Arabidopsis thaliana: one gene and its partner. The protein of the gene in region 1 purifies or fractionates together with the protein of each later gene. This does not show direct contact. Each region holds a gene or a part of one and is shown on either strand. Other genes may lie near its edges.

What was found.
Region 2: the proteins of CPI1 (region 1) and CLV1 purify together in Arabidopsis thaliana (affinity purification with western blotting; one study listed by BioGRID). This does not show direct contact.

What each region holds. Positions count from the first base shown.
Region 1 is NC_003076.8:20,507,480-20,516,145, reverse strand, and holds CPI1 (cyclopropyl isomerase), read right to left. Parts: upstream 4,480-8,666; 5' UTR 4,291-4,479; coding exon 4,284-4,290; intron 4,199-4,283; coding exon 4,068-4,198; exon of another isoform or gene 3,818-4,067; coding exon 3,734-3,817; intron 3,583-3,733; coding exon 3,541-3,582; intron 3,391-3,540; coding exon 3,280-3,390; intron 3,192-3,279; coding exon 3,000-3,191; intron 2,797-2,999; coding exon 2,699-2,796; intron 2,393-2,698; coding exon 2,320-2,392; coding exon of another isoform or gene 2,215-2,319; exon of another isoform or gene 2,182-2,214; coding exon 2,065-2,181; 3' UTR 1,897-2,064; downstream 1-1,896. Other genes in the region: AT5G50370 (Adenylate kinase family protein), read left to right, coding at 5,515-5,635, 5,880-6,145, 6,233-6,400, 6,498-6,587, 6,663-6,764; AT5G50365 (uncharacterized protein), read right to left, coding at 7,370-7,375, 7,584-7,985. UniProt on the Arabidopsis thaliana protein: Converts pentacyclic cyclopropyl sterols to tetracyclic sterols.
Region 2 is NC_003070.9:28,461,550-28,471,142, forward strand, and holds CLV1 (Leucine-rich receptor-like protein kinase family protein), read right to left. Parts: upstream 5,423-9,593; 5' UTR 5,104-5,422; coding exon 2,514-5,103; intron 2,435-2,513; coding exon 2,082-2,434; 3' UTR 1,795-2,081; downstream 1-1,794. Other genes in the region: AT1G75810 (uncharacterized protein), read left to right, coding at 198-575.

The DNA of each region.
Region 1 (8,666 bases):
GTCTTTGCTATATATATGGAGCTGGATGATATTACTTTCTTGTTGTAACGTATCTCTGTACTTAGATTTGATAGTAAAAGTGTGTTTGTTGCATAGAAATGATAAGTTAAGAAAATTTCAGTTTATAATAGTGGGTGATTCCGCATTTTCCAAATCACAGATATAATCTGTTTCCAAGACTTCGGCCAAAAATCCAGTATGTATATACCCAAAGAAAACACAGGTTGAGCCACATTGGAGAGCAAATCTCATAAAAACATACATGTCACTTAGACCAGTGTGTTATTTTATTGGCACCAAAAAAAATGTTCTTGGTTTCAAGTTTTGTGTTCGAGTAGCTACAAAATACAAATCCAAGTTTCTTGGACAAGTACGACCATGGAAACTATTCATATCCACATACTTTGACATAGACTATGATAACAGAGTATGCATCTGCTACCTTTAACATTCCATCCCAAGCATTGTCGCTCGCTTCCAAGATTAACTTTAAAACGTGGAGCATCCTTCTTCTTGGGCTTGGAATCAGGTTGTGGCTCTCCCTAAGGAAATCATAGAAGATTTGGACAAAAAATTGATCAATTCAAAATTTAGATTTTCTTTAGAAAACAAGAAACATGCGTTTTATAATATTGTGGGTTACAAAAATAGTTTCAACATTTTATAAAGTGGTTAATGCGTTTAAACTGTGTTAAGCTGATGTTGTTTAATGTTTAGACTGCTTGATGTTTTAAAATTTGATCTCTAGAGATTTTTACATTCACGTTGAATTCGAAAAGAAGTAATTAATCTTGACGAAAAAGAAGGGGTTACACAAGTCTGAAGTTGTCCATCCTGATTCTCAAAGCAAAGGTATGATGATCTTCATGAGTCCTTGCGTTACATTGCACAATCTTCTATTTTGTTTTGTTTTGTTTTGTACTCATTTGCTTTTTTATTGCTACGTGTTTTTGTCTCTCTCCCTATGAATTTATATGTCTCTTTGCATGGATGGTTTTTTGCCTTAATGGCTTAATCGGAGTTTGGATTTCTCAATTTTCTTGGTCCATACTCTTCTCCTTCGTGTTGATATATGAGTTAGTGTGATTTAGTCTGGATTCAGGGAAGTATTTTTCTTGTTCTGTGAATAGCATATACTTGGGTTAGAAGAAACGAGGTCAGTCATGCATTAATTGATGGTATAAAGCATTAGTGGCAGTACTATTTTGATGATACAATAATGGCAACTTAACACTCTTGAAATATTTTTGGGTTGTTTCATTTTCTGATCTTGTGGCAGTAATGTTTTGTTATTCTTTCCAGATTTTATTCAAGAAACTACAATAAACCTGAGTTAGTATCAGTATGATTCTGATTCAGTGTTTTATGTTTTTTATATTTAAAAGTTGAAGGATGCTCCTATAATAGAATTGTTGTTGTATCTTGAAACAGGGTTATCTTATGTGAATGAGACTTAGATCTTATATTAAATCATTTTTAAACTCTTACACTCCAAAGACTCATTACAAACCACATTAAAACTATGACATATATGAACAAGTAAACTCTTACGGTTAGTAGTCGTATCTCCTTAATATTCTCAGATGCAAAGATTACAAAAACGGAGAGCAGTCTTGTTCTATCTCCCACTACTAACCGGTCTACGGACAAAGAACTGAGAACGTGTACTTGTTCAAGGAATCATGGATGGTCACAGGACCAGGTAATGTTGATCTTGGACCAGAGATTAGTGTTCTGATTGTGGTTGCAGTTATGCACTGCAACAGTCGTCCCATATAAGTTAGTGACTACAACAATGGAACAAATGCTACGGGGGAGGTTGCAGAAGTAAAGTAAGCCCTTAGCTACTTCATGTGATGAGACTTTACCATTTAATATCAAGTTTTGGTTCTTTCAATGGTGTTATGGTCTTTCTTGTTTTAATGAACTTAAGAGGACGAACCAATATATCGAGTCCACAACAAAAAACGAAGTTCCATTCTGTTCTATAAAGGATAACTTGAAAGGTTACATTGGGAAAGTTCATCAAGAGAAACTGAAAACCAAAAACAACTAACAAACAAATCAGCAGTTGGAGAAGAAAAGCCTTAGAAACATGCCCTGCATTAACTGCTTCCCAATTCCGTAAAGTGTTAATGGAAATTCCTTTGCAGGTTTCTCTCTCAGTCCCATGTCAATTCCCTGAATTGGTGGAAGTAACCGATCTTTCAATCTTCAATTGGAGAACCATGGTAATCCAGACTGAAGGCAGTTTTGTCCCTCCGGTAAGGGAACTATAGGTCCCAAGAAGAGACGCCATAGATCAAGAATGATTGTTACCAACATAGCAGCACCCAAAGCATCAACAGCCACTCGAGATAAATCCCATTCATCAGTTGATTTCTCATCCATCCTGCAAACAATGAATAAAACATATGAAAACAGATAGACAACAACTCGAGGTAATCAAATAGCAATAAGAAGGTGAGACGGAAGCATATCACAGAGACTGTTCAAAGAACTCCTCAAGACACTTGAGAAAGACCTGGTTCTCCATTTAAGTCTTTAATTCCTATATTTTAAGACTCTCAAGAAAATTCAATCAATTAATCCGGTGTATCTAACAACTATCACTTGTCTCAGTTTTGATATGCAACAGTCATGAAGGTGAAAAGATTCACTGCTTCTATGAGATGATAGAAAACTATGCTTTCTTTACCTGAAGAACATTGGGAAGCTCACAATGAAGTAAATGGCATAGAAAAGACATCCAACTCTGTACATGGCACTTCGGTCCACAAACTCATAGTAAGGAAACTGCACAAGTTTGAAAACAAAAACAGAACATATGAGCGGTTATTGTCAAGTGACTAGTTTCTAAACAAGATTCTAGAATGATTAAGTAGATAAACGTAGTCTTTAAGCAGACTATAAGAGGAATTTGTGATATATGATAAAACACCAAGTAGAGAGCTCTTTTTATAGGAAATTATCAAAGAAATGTAGACATCACAACGTACATTTGCGATAGCAATAGTCTCCAAGTATGCAATGAAATAAGAAAGCGCAAGTATCCATGCAGCCTCAAAACACCATTTCAGAGAATCTGGTAAATCAGCAGTGGAATGGCGTAGCCTCCGAAGAGTAATGTTCGATGCAACGTGGTAAAAGAGGAAGCAAACATGTGTTAGGAAGAATGTTGTGTGAGGCACCTGTTCAACACAAAACCCCTGCCATAAGCTCATGGAAACAAGAAAACTACTCAATAGAACAAATCTGCCGAGATAATGCTGTGCTTACATTATTCATTTTCCATGATGGAAAAGTATAGGACGCTCCAAGAACTTTAAAGAAATAGTGAGTCCAAAAGTAGTTTCCGACATAGCTGAAAACAATTATCCAGAGATTTGCCTGTGGTAAAAACATGTTCCAATCAGTACAACTATGGATGAGATCTTGAGAACTCTCACCAGTACTCAAGGAAGTTAAAACAAGTTCTAAAAATAGTTTGAAACTAGAACTGGCAAGCCAAAATGTCATGCACATAGAAAAAAAGCTTGCCTTAACCCAATAGCGGTCCTTCCAACATAAACTTCTGTCGGCCTGAAAGAATAATGCATATATTCTGAGTCCATATGGTAAGGAAAACAATAGAGATTTGCATTCAATTGGAAGCAAGTAGCTAGTAGACAAACAAGTATAGCACCACGAACACGTTAGCTCACAGTGAAAGCAAAAGTTGTCAAAAAGTAACCTTTCCAACGAGTAACATGGGTATAACGAAAGCAGGAACAGCTGAAACCAAAGCTAGAAGCAGATACTCCAACTCCGTGAATGTCTGCTAGTTTGCAAAGTAACTAACACTTATTAGTACTTCTTCAATACCACTTAAAAGACAACTTCATACAACAGTAAAATTTTCAGATCTCTAAAACACTGACATGGTAAACAATGAGACATCATTTCATAAACTTTGTTGATCTAATTTAGCAGATAAAAAAAAGTGAATAGCTACTTCAACTCTGTCTCATCGTCTCCTAAATACATCAGACACTTAAAAACAATGCTCATTTGATGATCGCATAGACCTCGTAAAGCTTGTAAGGAACAACGATGCCTAAACAGAGAGTGAGCCAAAAAGGAGTGTAGAAGAGGAAGAAGAGCTCTCCCCATCTCTTGCTCGGATTCGGTGCCAGCCACAAGCTCGGTGAAGAAGATCCTATCAAATGTAAATCAAAAAAATCAGGGAATGGGGACGAGAGATTCGAATCAGAAGAAGAAGAAGAGATCGGCGATAGTTTTACCTGACATAATCGCTCCGCCGGAGAATCTTAGAAACGTTGACTTGAGTAGTGTGAGTGAGTGAGCCGAGATTTTGTGTACGGGCGACCAAATAGATCCCAATCAAGCTGACGTGGCAGATGTACTCAGTGATGATGATTTTGACGAAAGCTAGATCCGCTCGCTCATCGTTCCTATTATTTTACCGTTTATTATGACATCACCTCTTTTTTCTACTTCTTTGTTGCTAAATTGTTATATTTGTTGTTCCCTTTTCCCAACATAAGAAGTGGGCCTATGTTAATTTAATTCTAAAATAATATGTAATCTAATTTTATTTTTTATTGTTAAATTTGATTTTAAAAAAATGTATATAGCAAATTGAAACTTTTGAGGTAAAGAGTTTATTTATATTTTTAGAATTTTCAAAAAGCAGATGTATGTGATCGTAAAAACGTTTACAATATATGTAAAGTTGGAAAAAAAAAAGCTTATATTATGTACTATTTTGAATTTTATAGTATTATTTTGCATTTTTTGGAAAACTCTTTTATTAATGTTAAGAATTTAGAAAAATACAAAAACTTATTAATAAATAAATATACAAAAATTATCAAGAAAGAAACTAATGATGTAGTATTCATTCATATCTTTAATAACCAAACATTGATGGAGTTTGGCTTTCAAAAAAAAAAAAGAAAAATGTGGGTTTTCAAGAGTTTAATTGTCTTATTGACGAAAAGTGAATGTGGTCTAGTGGTATACTGATATTCATAAGTCTACCATAAACTAGCAAAATCTTCAACCTCAGTACTTAATATCAAATTAAGTTTCTTAACACTAGTGTTAATTGGACAAATGACCGGTCCATCGTGCCTTAAAACCGAAAAAATGTGTTAGACTCTACTTATTCTATGTTTTCTAGTCCGCTTTTTTTGGTTCACTTGACCTAAAACATAATGGTTTGTTGGAAGTATTATATGATATTTGATTTTATGTAATTATGAAAAATGTGCGATATTAGATGTGTAAGAAGAAAGACTCGTTTTCAGAGTTGGGTGTGTCACCAACCCCAGGCAGGTTGTTGTTGTTCGAAGGGCAGGCCTTTGTAGTTGTTGGCACAGTTAAGGGTAAAATCGTAAAACGGTGAAAGAAAACATTGGAAGCATCGAATCCAATACACGCACTTCAAAAAGAGAACACAACTCCACCGGACCAAATCTAATTCTCTTGTAAGAGACGACGACGACGAACATGGCAACGAGCAGTGCGGCTTCTGTTGATATGGAAGATATTCAGACTGTTGATCTCATGTCTGAGCTTCTTCGCCGTATGAAATGTGCCTCTAAACCTGACAAACGTCTCGTTTTCATCGGTACAATCATCTCTTTCGTTACCTCTGAATCTTTCACTCAATCGGTACTTTAGGTTTGATCTCTGTGAAAATTGTGTAGCGAAAGTTCCGATTTTTATCTGTTTTAGTGTGTAAAAATTGCATTTTGCTGTTATCGTTAATGCTTTATCTGATGATCATAGCGAAGGGATTGTGAATTTGTGTTTTTTGGTTCAATAGAAAGGAAGAATTGAGTTTTGGTTCATGTATGATTTGGAATTTGCAGGTCCACCTGGTTCAGGGAAAGGTACACAGTCTCCGGTCATAAAGGATGAGTTTTGTTTGTGTCATTTGTCTACTGGTGACATGCTTAGAGCTGCTGTTGCTGCTAAGACTCCTCTTGGTGTGAAGGCAAAGGAAGCAATGGATAAGGGAGAGCTTGTTTCTGATGACTTGGTTGTTGGTATCATGGATGAAGCAATGAACAGACCCAAATGTCAGAAAGGTTTCATTCTTGATGGGTTCCCGCGGACTGTGACTCAAGCAGAGAAGGTTTCTGGTTCTTTTCTGTGGTTAGTTGTTTGTGTATCTGCTCGCTCTTGTAAATGTTCTGACTTTTTTTGTTTATAAATCTTGTAGCTTGATGAGATGCTTAATAGAAGGGGAGCTCAGATAGATAAGGTGCTTAATTTTGCGATCGATGATTCGGTTCTCGAAGAAAGAATTACTGGAAGGTGGATTCACCCTTCAAGTGGAAGAAGCTATCATACTAAATTCGCACCTCCTAAAGTTCCAGGAGTCGATGATGTAAGAAAAACCATCAAATTCTGATTCATCATTTTGACTTAGTAAATCGAGTTCTCTCTTGTGATTTGATCTCTGTATCAACTTCGTTGTTTGTTAGCTGACTGGAGAGCCATTGATTCAACGTAAAGATGACAATGCGGATGTTCTTAGATCAAGGCTAGATGCATTCCACAAGCAGACGCAACCGGTATGTTTCCTTATAGTACATGAACTTGAGGACTATCAGAGAATTTGACATTTGTTCTTGTTGTTGTTGTTGCAGGTAATTGACTATTATGCGAAGAAGGAGAATCTGGTGAACATACCGGCAGAGAAGGCCCCGGAAGAGGTTACAAAAGTGGTGAAGAAGGTTGTGTCTACATGAAACTGAAAAACGAAATGGCATCAGTTTAAGATGTATCTTTTTTTGCTTATCTTAAATAACTCTCCTGAGTTTTTTTATTTGTTTCCCCCGGAATGTCTTTTGTCTTGAGAGCAACATTTGCTGCAGTTTTGTGCAGTGTGTTTCACTAAGGCTTATTGTTTGCGACTGGAAATGTCAGGTGAATAAAGGAAAAACAAAATCGTAGTAAAATAGTGGAAGATTGAAAACATTAGAATCGCATAACATTGAAAACAAAATGGTAGCTTATAAAGAATTGGTGATCAACTGTAAGAATTGGTAGAGCAGGAATCCAACAGATTCCAACGGAATTGTATATAGATCATCTCATCATCACAATGAGATAAGCGATATGAAACCATAGTTAGTGAAATTCAAGTTTTTCAGATTTATAGATTTATTTTGGATAACAAAAAAAGGAATAAAATACAAGTAATTCATATATTTGAATAAAGATATCATCATTACAATTTGAGCTTCAATGAACTTGGATGGTAAGATAAATTTTGAAAATGTTTGGGGTATAAAATGTTGAATTGTATTCTTATTATTTATTTAAATAATAGTTTTTGCCTATATTTTTTCAGTCAAATCTACTATATATTAAAAAGAATATTTTCGGGAAAATATCTTCAGTGTACCATACTTAGAACACATTCCATATTAGAAAATATTAAATCTTATTCTTTAGTTCTAAGATGATAAGATAAGATTTATGACAATGTTATAAAACTTAAACATAGTCAATAGTTCTAACAATTTGTAAAAGTATCTTGTAATGACGAAATCAAATTTTTTTACTGTGATAGCATTGTTTGTTCTCCTCTTTGTTGGTGTTCTTGAAGCCAACAAGAAGAGCCTCTTACATGAATCTGAAGATTTTCGACAGTCCGAAAGTTTGCTTAAAAAATCAGTTGATCCAATACGCGTCACAAGATGGCTCGTTCCCCCTTCAGGACCTAGTACCAAAGAATCACCGGGTACAAGATGGTTCGTTCCACCTTCAGGTCCTAGTACCAAAGAACCACTAGTTAGGAGATGGTTTGTTCCACCCTCAGGACCTAGTACCAAAGAACCACCGGTTGCACACAACGCAAATATGAATTTATGGTGACCATCACAACGTCTGGTTTTAGGAATGTTACCTAAGAATGTTCCAATTCCTCCAATGAGAACTAGCAAAAAAAAAAACTTTAAATCCATAAAAAAATATGTCTTGAATTTCTTTTTTTTTTAAAGCAAATCTAGTGTAAATCATAATCCAACCAAAGTTCTAGCTACAATAAAAACAGGAGCGTTTTATTAGTGTGCTAGTGTTCAATAAAATATGCATCAACATTTCTTTCTTTCTTTTTTAATTATTTCTTGTAGTTTTAAAAAATACGGGTTTAATTATCTTATTTTGATGAATTTAAGATTAAAGTTGTCAAATTTCAAGAATTTGGATTCCAATGAACAATCAAATTTAAATTATCTTAAAGAGTTGGCATCGTCATGTTCATATACTTCATAGTTACATATACACACATTCAGTCCATAATGCAATATATATATGCAATTTAATTTATCTTAAAGAGTTGGCACTGGAACTATGAATTGGTAATATTATTAGTTATTGTTCAATATTTAAGAATCAGAAAACTAAAGTTAAACTATAATTTTATGAATTTACAAGTTTATTATTTCAAAACTATAAAAATATTTTACAAACCATAAAAGTGAATCTTAATAAAATATAAAGTATTTACAAGAAAAATGGTTGGTTAAATAATTATCAAAACATTCTTATAAGCAGTAAAATGTTCTTATTTTTTAACAAATTTTTTGTAAAAAAATTGAATAAAAAATAAAAATTATGACCACATTGCAATTGTTTAACCACAA
Region 2 (9,593 bases), on another chromosome or scaffold:
CATAGAGAGGAAGCAAAAGATCTTGTCAAGGGTGTTTTAGTAATTTCAAAATATCCTTCCCTTCGTTGACAAGGATGACGTCTTTTTGAGTATTTCAACATCCACCACAATTTCGCTTTTCTCCACTTTTTCTGTTAAAAAGCTTCCTCCACCGCAACGAATTTCACGGCGACGGTGAAGAAGAAGTAAAGTCCTAGATGTGTCTCATGGCGTTATCCGACGCGGTTCTCGGGAATCTCGCGACGATCTACGTGGCGGTGATTATCGCGATTAAAGCCTACGGATTAATCACCGGGAGGAGTTTCAGCGCTGGATTCGTCGTCGTCGTTTCGATTACGGCAGTTGGTGTTTTGCTTGCAGTTACGCTTGCTTGGGATGTGTCTCGTAGAGCAGCGGAGGCGGTTTCTCGGTACAATCGTGTTGGTGGTGAGGAAGATCTTAGCCACCACCGTCACCATCACGACGGTGGTGCGATTTGTAAAGGAGGGATTTGCTGGCACGGCGTTGCGGTTCGGTCTCCGGCTTCACAGGTTCGATTTAGGCTTCCACAACATATACCTTACGGTGCTTTCTGAGTATATAAACTTCGAATTTTCCCTCTTTATTTTGACTTTTGTGAAGTAGATAACATGTGTTAGATATATACGTTTCTCATAGATTTTCTGTGTAATAGATGATGATGAGGAATAAGGTAATGGTGTTCTTCTTCTTGTAAGTTGGAAGGTTTTTGTTTGTATTGATATGTTGTAAAATCGGATAGTGATTGTGATGATTATAGATATGATGTTCTTGTTTTTAAAAGTAAAAATGGATTTTGAATTTAAGAGCTGCACTGTTATCCAAATTTGAATGTTGATACTCGAGTCTTACCACTGAATGAGGATTGTGGCATTGAGAATTTTGGGGGATTCTTAATGAAGAGACTAAAACAGAGTAATCTAAATAACATGTGTTCGGAGTTAAGGAATAAGGTAATGATGTTCTTCTTCGTGTAAGCTGGGAGGTTTTTGTTTGTATTGATATGTTGTAAAATCGGATAGTGATTATGATGATGATAGATGTTCTTGTTTTCTTTATACAATCGATTTTGAATTTTGAGAGCTGCAGTGTTGTTTAAATCTGAATGAAACTCAGGTCTTTCCAAGTTAATCAAGATTGTGGCCTTGAAAGTTTTGTGATTTAAATTGTATATGATTCTTAATGAAGAGACTAAAACAGAGTAATGAAGGATCTTGTTTCTCTACCTTAATGAATTTGTGACTAATTTGCCTTGTCTTCTTCTCACACCCGTTTATAAGTTGTGACTATGTGCCTTGTCTTCTTCTCTGAATTGCTCTATGAATGGAGGTAAGAGTTATGGATAGAATTAGCTTCACAGCATCATCCTCATCTTGTGGGAAAATGCACATTATAGAGGTTGAATTCTGTTGTTCATGAACTTTTAAAGCTTCTTGGTTGTTGATTTCTGTGAATTTTTCCGGTTTCTTAGTTTATGTGTGTTTTGCTTCAAGAGCAGAAACTACAATGTTATGACCCTGAGGTGATTTTCTTAGCTCGTAAAAATATGAGAAGTGAATGACCCCCAAGAACTCAATGAAACTGGTCATTATTCCAAATGCAGAGTACGAGTCCAATCTCTTAATCAACCATTAGTCTGTTGATTCCGTGTTTTTTTTTATCAGATGTGTTTCCTTTTTATTTTCCGAGCCATCTGCTGGTAAATACTTTGTAAGTAAGGTCAAGATTGCAACATGACACTGTCGGAAGCTAACACAAACCTGAATTTAGATATGACCCTAATTCACATATTCTAAACAGTCTAGACTTAAATCCAGAGGTCAAAGCTCTCACATTCTTTTATTTTATACACTCTGAACGGAGAATTAGCTAAAGTTTAAAGCCATCAAGCAATAAGCATATTGATTACATTACATACTCGAGATAATAACACATAAAGAGGTAATATACAAATTGAAACACAACAAATATACAAACCCGAAAGTATTAGAAACCATAAATAAGAACACCCAAAAAATGATCACCACATTTCGCATCTTATTTTCATATTTATCTTGCTTGGGTCAGAACGCGATCAAGTTCGCCACGGATTTAGGAGGGTTAGTGAGCATGTGCACAACTTCCCTCATCGTAGGCCTTGCCGCGGCTTCTTCCTCCACACACATCATTGCGATCTTGAACACATGAATCACACTTGTCAACGGGTAACCAGTCAACCTCGGGTCAACAATCGCAACAACAATAGCAGCATCCGATGGCTGAGTTATCTCCTCTTCCGTGTTCCTCACCCACCTAACTATATCCACTCCTTCTCCAAATTCACCAACAGGTTTCTTCCCAGCTATTAACTCCAACAAAACCACTCCGAAACTATACACATCACTCTTCTCGTCCACTTTCAAGGTATATGCATACTCTATGCAAACCAAAAACAAAATGATAATCAGAACATATATCATTTTGGTGAGTACTAATGTTGTTGACATGTAACTAACCTGGGGCGATGTATCCATAAGAGCCAGCAATTGAAGACATACACTCAGAAGCAGCACCATCAACTAAGAACTTAGCAAGCCCAAAATCAGCAACATGGGCTTCAAAATCAGAGTCCAAAAGAATGTTATTGGACTTAACATCTCTATGCAAGATCAATGGTGAACAATCATGGTGAAGATAACACAAGCCCTTTGCAGCTTCCACGGCTACTCTATGTCTCGTCTCCCATTGAAGATGACCACCTTTAGATCCATGCAAAAGCTCTCCAAGGCTTCCATTAGGCATGTACTCATAAAGAAGGAGATTCGTATCCTTGTTCGCTACGTAACCAAGAAGTCTCACTATGTGACGGTGGCGGATTCTCCCCAAAGTTTGAATCTCCGCCGTGAATCCATGATCGCTCCTCCCGGTCCCACGGCCAACGAGTCGTTTAATCGCGACGTCTACGTTGTTTGGCATTGATCCACGGTAGACAATTCCAGCTCCGCCTTTACCGATTATGTTCTCTTCTTTAAGACACTCGAGAACGTCTTCAGATTTGAAATCTAGTTTCTGGAAGGCGGTTAGTTTCCAGGCGAGAGATTTCTGGTTCTTCTTCTTATTCATCTGACGAATCGCTACACTGATTAGGATCAAACCGGTGATCGCTGCGATAACCGTGATTACGATCCTTGACGGTGAGAACAACGCCGTGTGATTGTGATCGGAGGTTTGTCCTGGCCGTGTTGGACAAGAGACACGGTGAGGGAGACAGAGGTAAGTGTTTCCGGCGAAGGAAGTTTCGTTGAACACCAAGAATTGACCACCGAGTGGTACTCTACCGGAGAGATCGTTGAAAGAGAGATCGAGAGTTGTTAAACTCGTCATGTTTCCGATTCCGGTAGGGATTGAACCGGTTAATTGATTACCGGAGATATTTAGAGTTCCTAAGTTTTTCACGTTGTTGATCCCTTTAGGGATTTCTCCGTTGATTCGGTTACGGCTGAGATCGACGGAGATTAAAGTTGAGCAGCGAGAGATTGAATCTGGAATACCGCCGGTGATGTTGTTCGCACTTGTGTTGATCCTCGATAAATGCTTCAATTCGAAGATTTCTCTCGGAATGTTGCCGCGAAATCGGTTCCGATCTAAGAATAGAGTCTGTAGATTGGGGAAATTACCAATCGCAGGTGGAATCTCGCCGGAAAACCAGTTGTTAGAGAGGTAAATCTGATCGAGAACATCGCCGGACATCGTTACCGGAAGTTCACCGGAGAAGAAATTATCAGTGAGTTCGATAATCGTAACTAACGGTAGATTGAAAAGCCCCGCCGGAACAGTGCCGTTGAGAAGATTCTTAACGATTCTGATTTTGGTTAAGGATTTGCATTTACCAAGCTCTTCTGGAATTGGACCAAAGAAGAAGTTGTTAGAGAGAATTAACATCTCTAATTTCTCACCTCTGCATAAGTCCTTGGGGATAAGTCCGGTGAGATGATTATCAGAGACATCAAGCTTTATTAGATTCCCGTTCCGGCCAAGATTCGCCGGTAATTGTAACGTGAAATTGTTCTCCCATACTTCGAAGACTTCGAGTTTTGGTAATTCTCCGATGGCCTCTGGTATTTGTCCGTAGAGATTGTTTCTGAAGAGATTGATTAGAGTAATGTTTCCGAGATTGATGAAGCTTTGAGGGATTTCTCCGGTTAACTGATTGATTGATAAATCGAGAGATTTCAAGCTGACTAAACCGGAAAGCTCCGGTGGTATATGACCGGTTAAGTTGTTGATGTGAAGAAACAGAGTATGTAGATGTTTCAGGTTACTTAAACTCGTCGGAATCTCTCCGGTGAGTGTACAGCTCGCCATGTCGAGGATCTCAAGCTTTGTTAAACCACCGAACTCCGGTGGAACACCACCGGTGTAGCTGTTGTAGTAGCCAATATACATTTCTCTTAAGTTCTTGAGGCGGGAAAGAAACGCCGGAGATTTACCGGAGAGTCCAGCTCCGTTGAGACCAAGATACTCTAAGCTTTGAATATCTCCATAACTCTCTGGAATCTCTCCGCTGAAGAAATTTCCACCGAAAGAGAGGTATTTAAGCTTCTTAAGCTCTGACATCTCCGGTGGTAACTTACCGTTGAAATTGTTGTTATAAGTGTCAAGAACTTCAAGATCAACCATAGCTTTTAAAATCTCTCCAGGGAATGTTCCAGTAAGGTTACCATTGTTGGAGATATTCAAAACCTTGAGAGAAGTTAGACTCTTCATCTCCAATGGTAATTCACCGGTGAAGTTGTTGGCAGCTAAAGTTAGATTCACCAAATGAGTCAACATCCCAATCTCTGGTGAGATTGTACCAAACAAAGGAGTGAAGGAGACGTTGAGAGAGATAACACGAGCATCGTCGTCACATGAGACGCCGGAGAAAGAACAGTGAGCATCCGGAGAAGATGAGTGAATCCAGTCGTGGAGACCGTGTCCTTTAGGACCAATCATGGAGGATTTGAGATTGAGAAGAACTTCCATGTCAGTGTAAGCGAAACATGGTGAGAAAAATAGATACAGATGCAGAAACAGAAGATGAGTCTTCAAAAGTCTCATCGCCATTTTTTTAGTGTCCTCTCAGTGAGAAAGAGCGAGAGAAAATAATAAGATAGCGTGAGTGTTATGCGATAGGACACAGAGACATGAACAATGGCATATTATGAAGAAGAAGATGAAGAGAATCGATGTGGTACTACTGTTCTAAATACCGTAAGACTTTGTGAGCGAATATATACTTTTATGTGACTTTACATAAATATTGTTATTATTAAAAATAATGCGCCAAAATACTTTTATGTGTTCATTTTTCAAATTATCTTGTAAATCTTGTTATGGTTACTGTCTTAAGTAGATTTATCATTTGTGAATAGAGAAATTTTACGAAAATAAAAGATAATTAAGGTACAATTGATCAGAGAACCATCTGCTGATCTTGCAGGTAGATAGATACAAACTATACGACTTATGGTCAAACACATACGTCTCAGTCTCTCATTGGCTATTTTTACATTCGATTCTTTTATAACGAGTGATCAATAATATTGCTGAGATTGTACTTTCAAATTTGGTCACACACTATTCAAACTCTAAAATCACTGGAATTACACTAGAAAGGCAGTTTTACTGGAGTCAAACTTTAGAGTTTTTAGTAGCCGCCACTACTACACTTATTAGACATGGAGAAACGGGAACGTCGTCGTTTTCTTCTTCTCTGATAAGTCTTCTGACACGATTTGTTTTGGCTTCATCAAACAAAAATCAATAGATAAGAGGTTCACGGCGTTTTAAATTTAACGGTGTAGAGATGCATCTCTTCTTTAACATTGACAGATCTTTATCTAAACGGCGTTGATCTGACCGTTATAAATGCTATAGACAGGACATAACGTTACGTTCCCTAGAGCCTGTGGTTTCTTCTTTCTTTCTTCTGTCGCCGTCTTGTCAACGGCACCAGTTATATAATCCGACGGCGTTTATAGCATCGTCGTCACGTGATGGGGAGAAAAGAGGAATAAGAAGACAAGGAGAGAAGTAAATGGGCTTTAATTAGAAGTAGGGCCTATTTTTCTAATTGGCCCGTATAGAAAGTCTGTCTGTGTCCTTTTCCTAAAGAGACAAATTTGCCCCTTGTGGTTTTTTTGGCTTTAACTTCCAAGTCAACGCTCTTTCTTGTATTTTGTCTTCTCACTTCTCGTTCATTCATACACTCCACTCACCGGTCTGTCACCATACAGACCTTCTGCTTCAAGGTCCCCACGCTCTATGTTCATATTTTACCTTTGTTTCGTTCGTGTGACTCTCTTGAAAACATTAGGGATTTATTCACTTCGGTCCATTTAAGATTTGATCGTGATTAGTCCAAAGTCCAAACCGATCAAATTAATAGCAACTGCCGATACCAAATTATATTCGTTTTGTAATCGGTGATTCAGAAAAAAGTTCAATGTATATAAATTCGTTCGTAGTGTTGATATTAGGACAAATCACTAGTTTGAAACTAAAGATACTAAAAACTATTTAATGTTTGAAGTTTTAGGTTTAGTTGTTAATACTTTTGGCTGAAAACGTGTCAATTTTGTTGTTAATGATGGCAAAACGAATAGCAAAATATTCCTAATGAATTAGGCCGAATGATATGATTAATATGCTTAACTTACATAAGTGAATCTTTCTTAATTATAAGTAAGCACCTTAAAGCAGTTTTTACAAGATCGATTCTGCCACAATCAAAATCGATTCTATCAACAATCTAACAATAAAATAATAATAGTTGTGAATTAATGGTCTGCCGTTATACAAGCACTATGGTTCTTGGCGAATATATCTTCATCCCGCTAACAATTTTTTTAGTTTGATAGAAAAATATATCAGGTGCTTTAGCAACAAAAAGGGATTTTAATCTTTAAAGAAATCTATACACTTGGGGTTGACATACACTTGGGGACCAATGTTCTATTATTATTGCGGTATATTGGTATAAAGGTCCTTCCTAAATGGCAGCGAATTTCTCATATTAATAATCTTTTGTGCATTCTCTTTTAGATATTATCTTATGATATACATTAGATTAAGAAGTAAACGCTGAAAAATATGCATACTTAGCAACAAATAAATGTGCTTTTTTCTCGTGTCTATTTGGTTTAACTTAAGTGGATTGAGAATCAGATCAACAGGTACAAGTGCAACCTTTAAAACAATGAGATGTCAATTAGTGATGAAGAAGAGAGCATCTCTTATGTGATTCGCTGAAAATGCTCTAACTCAATGAACTTTGGGAATAAAGGTTTAGGTTCTCTTCAGCAGAAAAGGAGCTCTTTTTAGTAAGTGGGAAATTTTATTATTGTAAAAAAGAATCTCTAAACTTTGGATTATTTTCTGATGTAAATAGTATAATATACATATAGGAGAATAATATAACGACATATAGCAACGATGGAAAATTTATCACCAAAAATCATGTCATCTTTATCACTAAATGACTCAAGGGTGAAAGAACTTTGGACCAATTTCTAGATGGATATCAATAAATTTGTTGAAATTAAATTATACGAAAGGGAATTAAACTGTAGAAGCTTGGTTCACATGTTTGATTTTCACAAAAATGTTTCGATTTGAACTTGCCATAGTACAATTTGCAACATATGCTTCTTTTACTCTGTTGTTTGCGTTATAATAAAATCGTCTCAAAATATTTAAAAATCATATGCAATTTGATTTAAGAATAAATTTGGAACTGTTTAGAAAGTTAGGTACCCAATTCATATACTTATTAAATACAATAAATAAATCATAAAGTTTTATATACAGATGCACCAATTGTTTATAGATTATCTGTATACACAATTACACACTCTACTAATCAATGTACTTTAGCATAGAATAATACTTTTACTTCTACTAAGCTTGTTTCACTAATTATAATGTTTAGTTAGAGATAAAACCATTGAAAAATCTCAAAAAGTAATAATCAATATAAACAAATAGAGAGAGCAATGATAATAATAAGATATATAGGTCATAGTCTTGTCAATCATGTTAATGATAAAAACGACAAGGCTACAAAAGTAGTAGTAGAAGTAGAAGAAGAAGATGATGATAGTGAAGACAAACTTGTGTCATAAGTGGTCTTACACAAATCCGTCTTGGAAACTGGTGTTTGCCTAATGGCCCTGCTGGGCTTTTGCTTCAGTCATTACCGAATCCTCTTGTATTGGCAGCTTTAATCCCAAATCTATTCAACTCATGCAATGATTTTGGACGAAGAAACTTCTCAATCCCAAATGACCCTTACTTCACCTTTCACTTTTTGTTCCATCGTAAAGATTTGAAACTTTTTAGATCTTATGAAAAGGCACCACATCTTCATCAAGTATTTTCTTTAAAATGTAGGGGAAAAAAAAATCTAGTTCTTTTGTTCATAGTCAACCTGGACCAGTAGGTCGTTGGGCCTTGGGTCTTCAGTCACGTCGGCAATCAACATTCACTTACCCATTTGAAACATTGGATCAGCGTGACCAATGCCAACCCATTAATCTAAATGGTTTAAACAATCAAGCGTGCAAGGATAAATGCATTGGACTTGAGAGAACAAGATATGGAATTTGAAATGTTGCCTTACCAGTTAACAAGTGTCTCTGTTTCCTCCCAAGTTAATGTACCAAAACTCTTTGGTGCTTAATTGTGGGGGCTTTTATAATATTGGGTACATTTTGGGCCATAAATTAGAGAAAGAGCACATTATGATTGAGTTTATGAAGATAGGCAGTTTTTGGGAAATAAATTGACGAAATTGCCCCTGCGATTTCACTCATTCTCCTAAATTGTTTTTGCAGAATCTTTTCCTGAATTGTTTTTGCAGAGCCTCATATTGGATCGATTCCTAACTTGTTTCAATGGATGATGTATTAAGTACAGAGATTGATTATCCTATTTCTCTACTTAATCAATGTTTCTTTCTACAAGACAATATATACACAAAAGATGTATTTACGGAAACAAAATCGATAGAGACAAAAATTAGAAAATCTGTTAATAACATTTCATCACCATCCAATTCAGATAAACCCCAATAAAATCAGTTAAAAGCTTTTTGATGGAAGAAAGCTAACCCCTAAGAAAATATTATATAACGAACCCAAATATACTAATCTTAAATAATTGGAATCGATTAAAATTTTCAATTATTTCTTATCCCTCTTTGAAATTGAAGAAAGAGAGGATGAAATTAATTCAGATCAAACAATTCAAATTCAAAAAAGCTATGGAGGATTACCACCTGCATCGTCGAGGAAGAAGATTGGCCAGGCATAGATCTGAATTTTGTAAGGTGATGGAGAAGCAATGGACATCAATGGTGAGTTTAGAGGCAATAGATTCCATGCCATTAGAGAAAGAGAAAGAGAGAGAAATAATCGCACATTTCTGAGATCGATTGATATTGATGAATTCTCCTCAATTAGATTGAAGGTACAAGGAGAAGAAACTCAATTAGATTGAAGGATAAAACAGTCATCCATATAATATAAAAGTATCTAAATTTGTAAGGAACATGA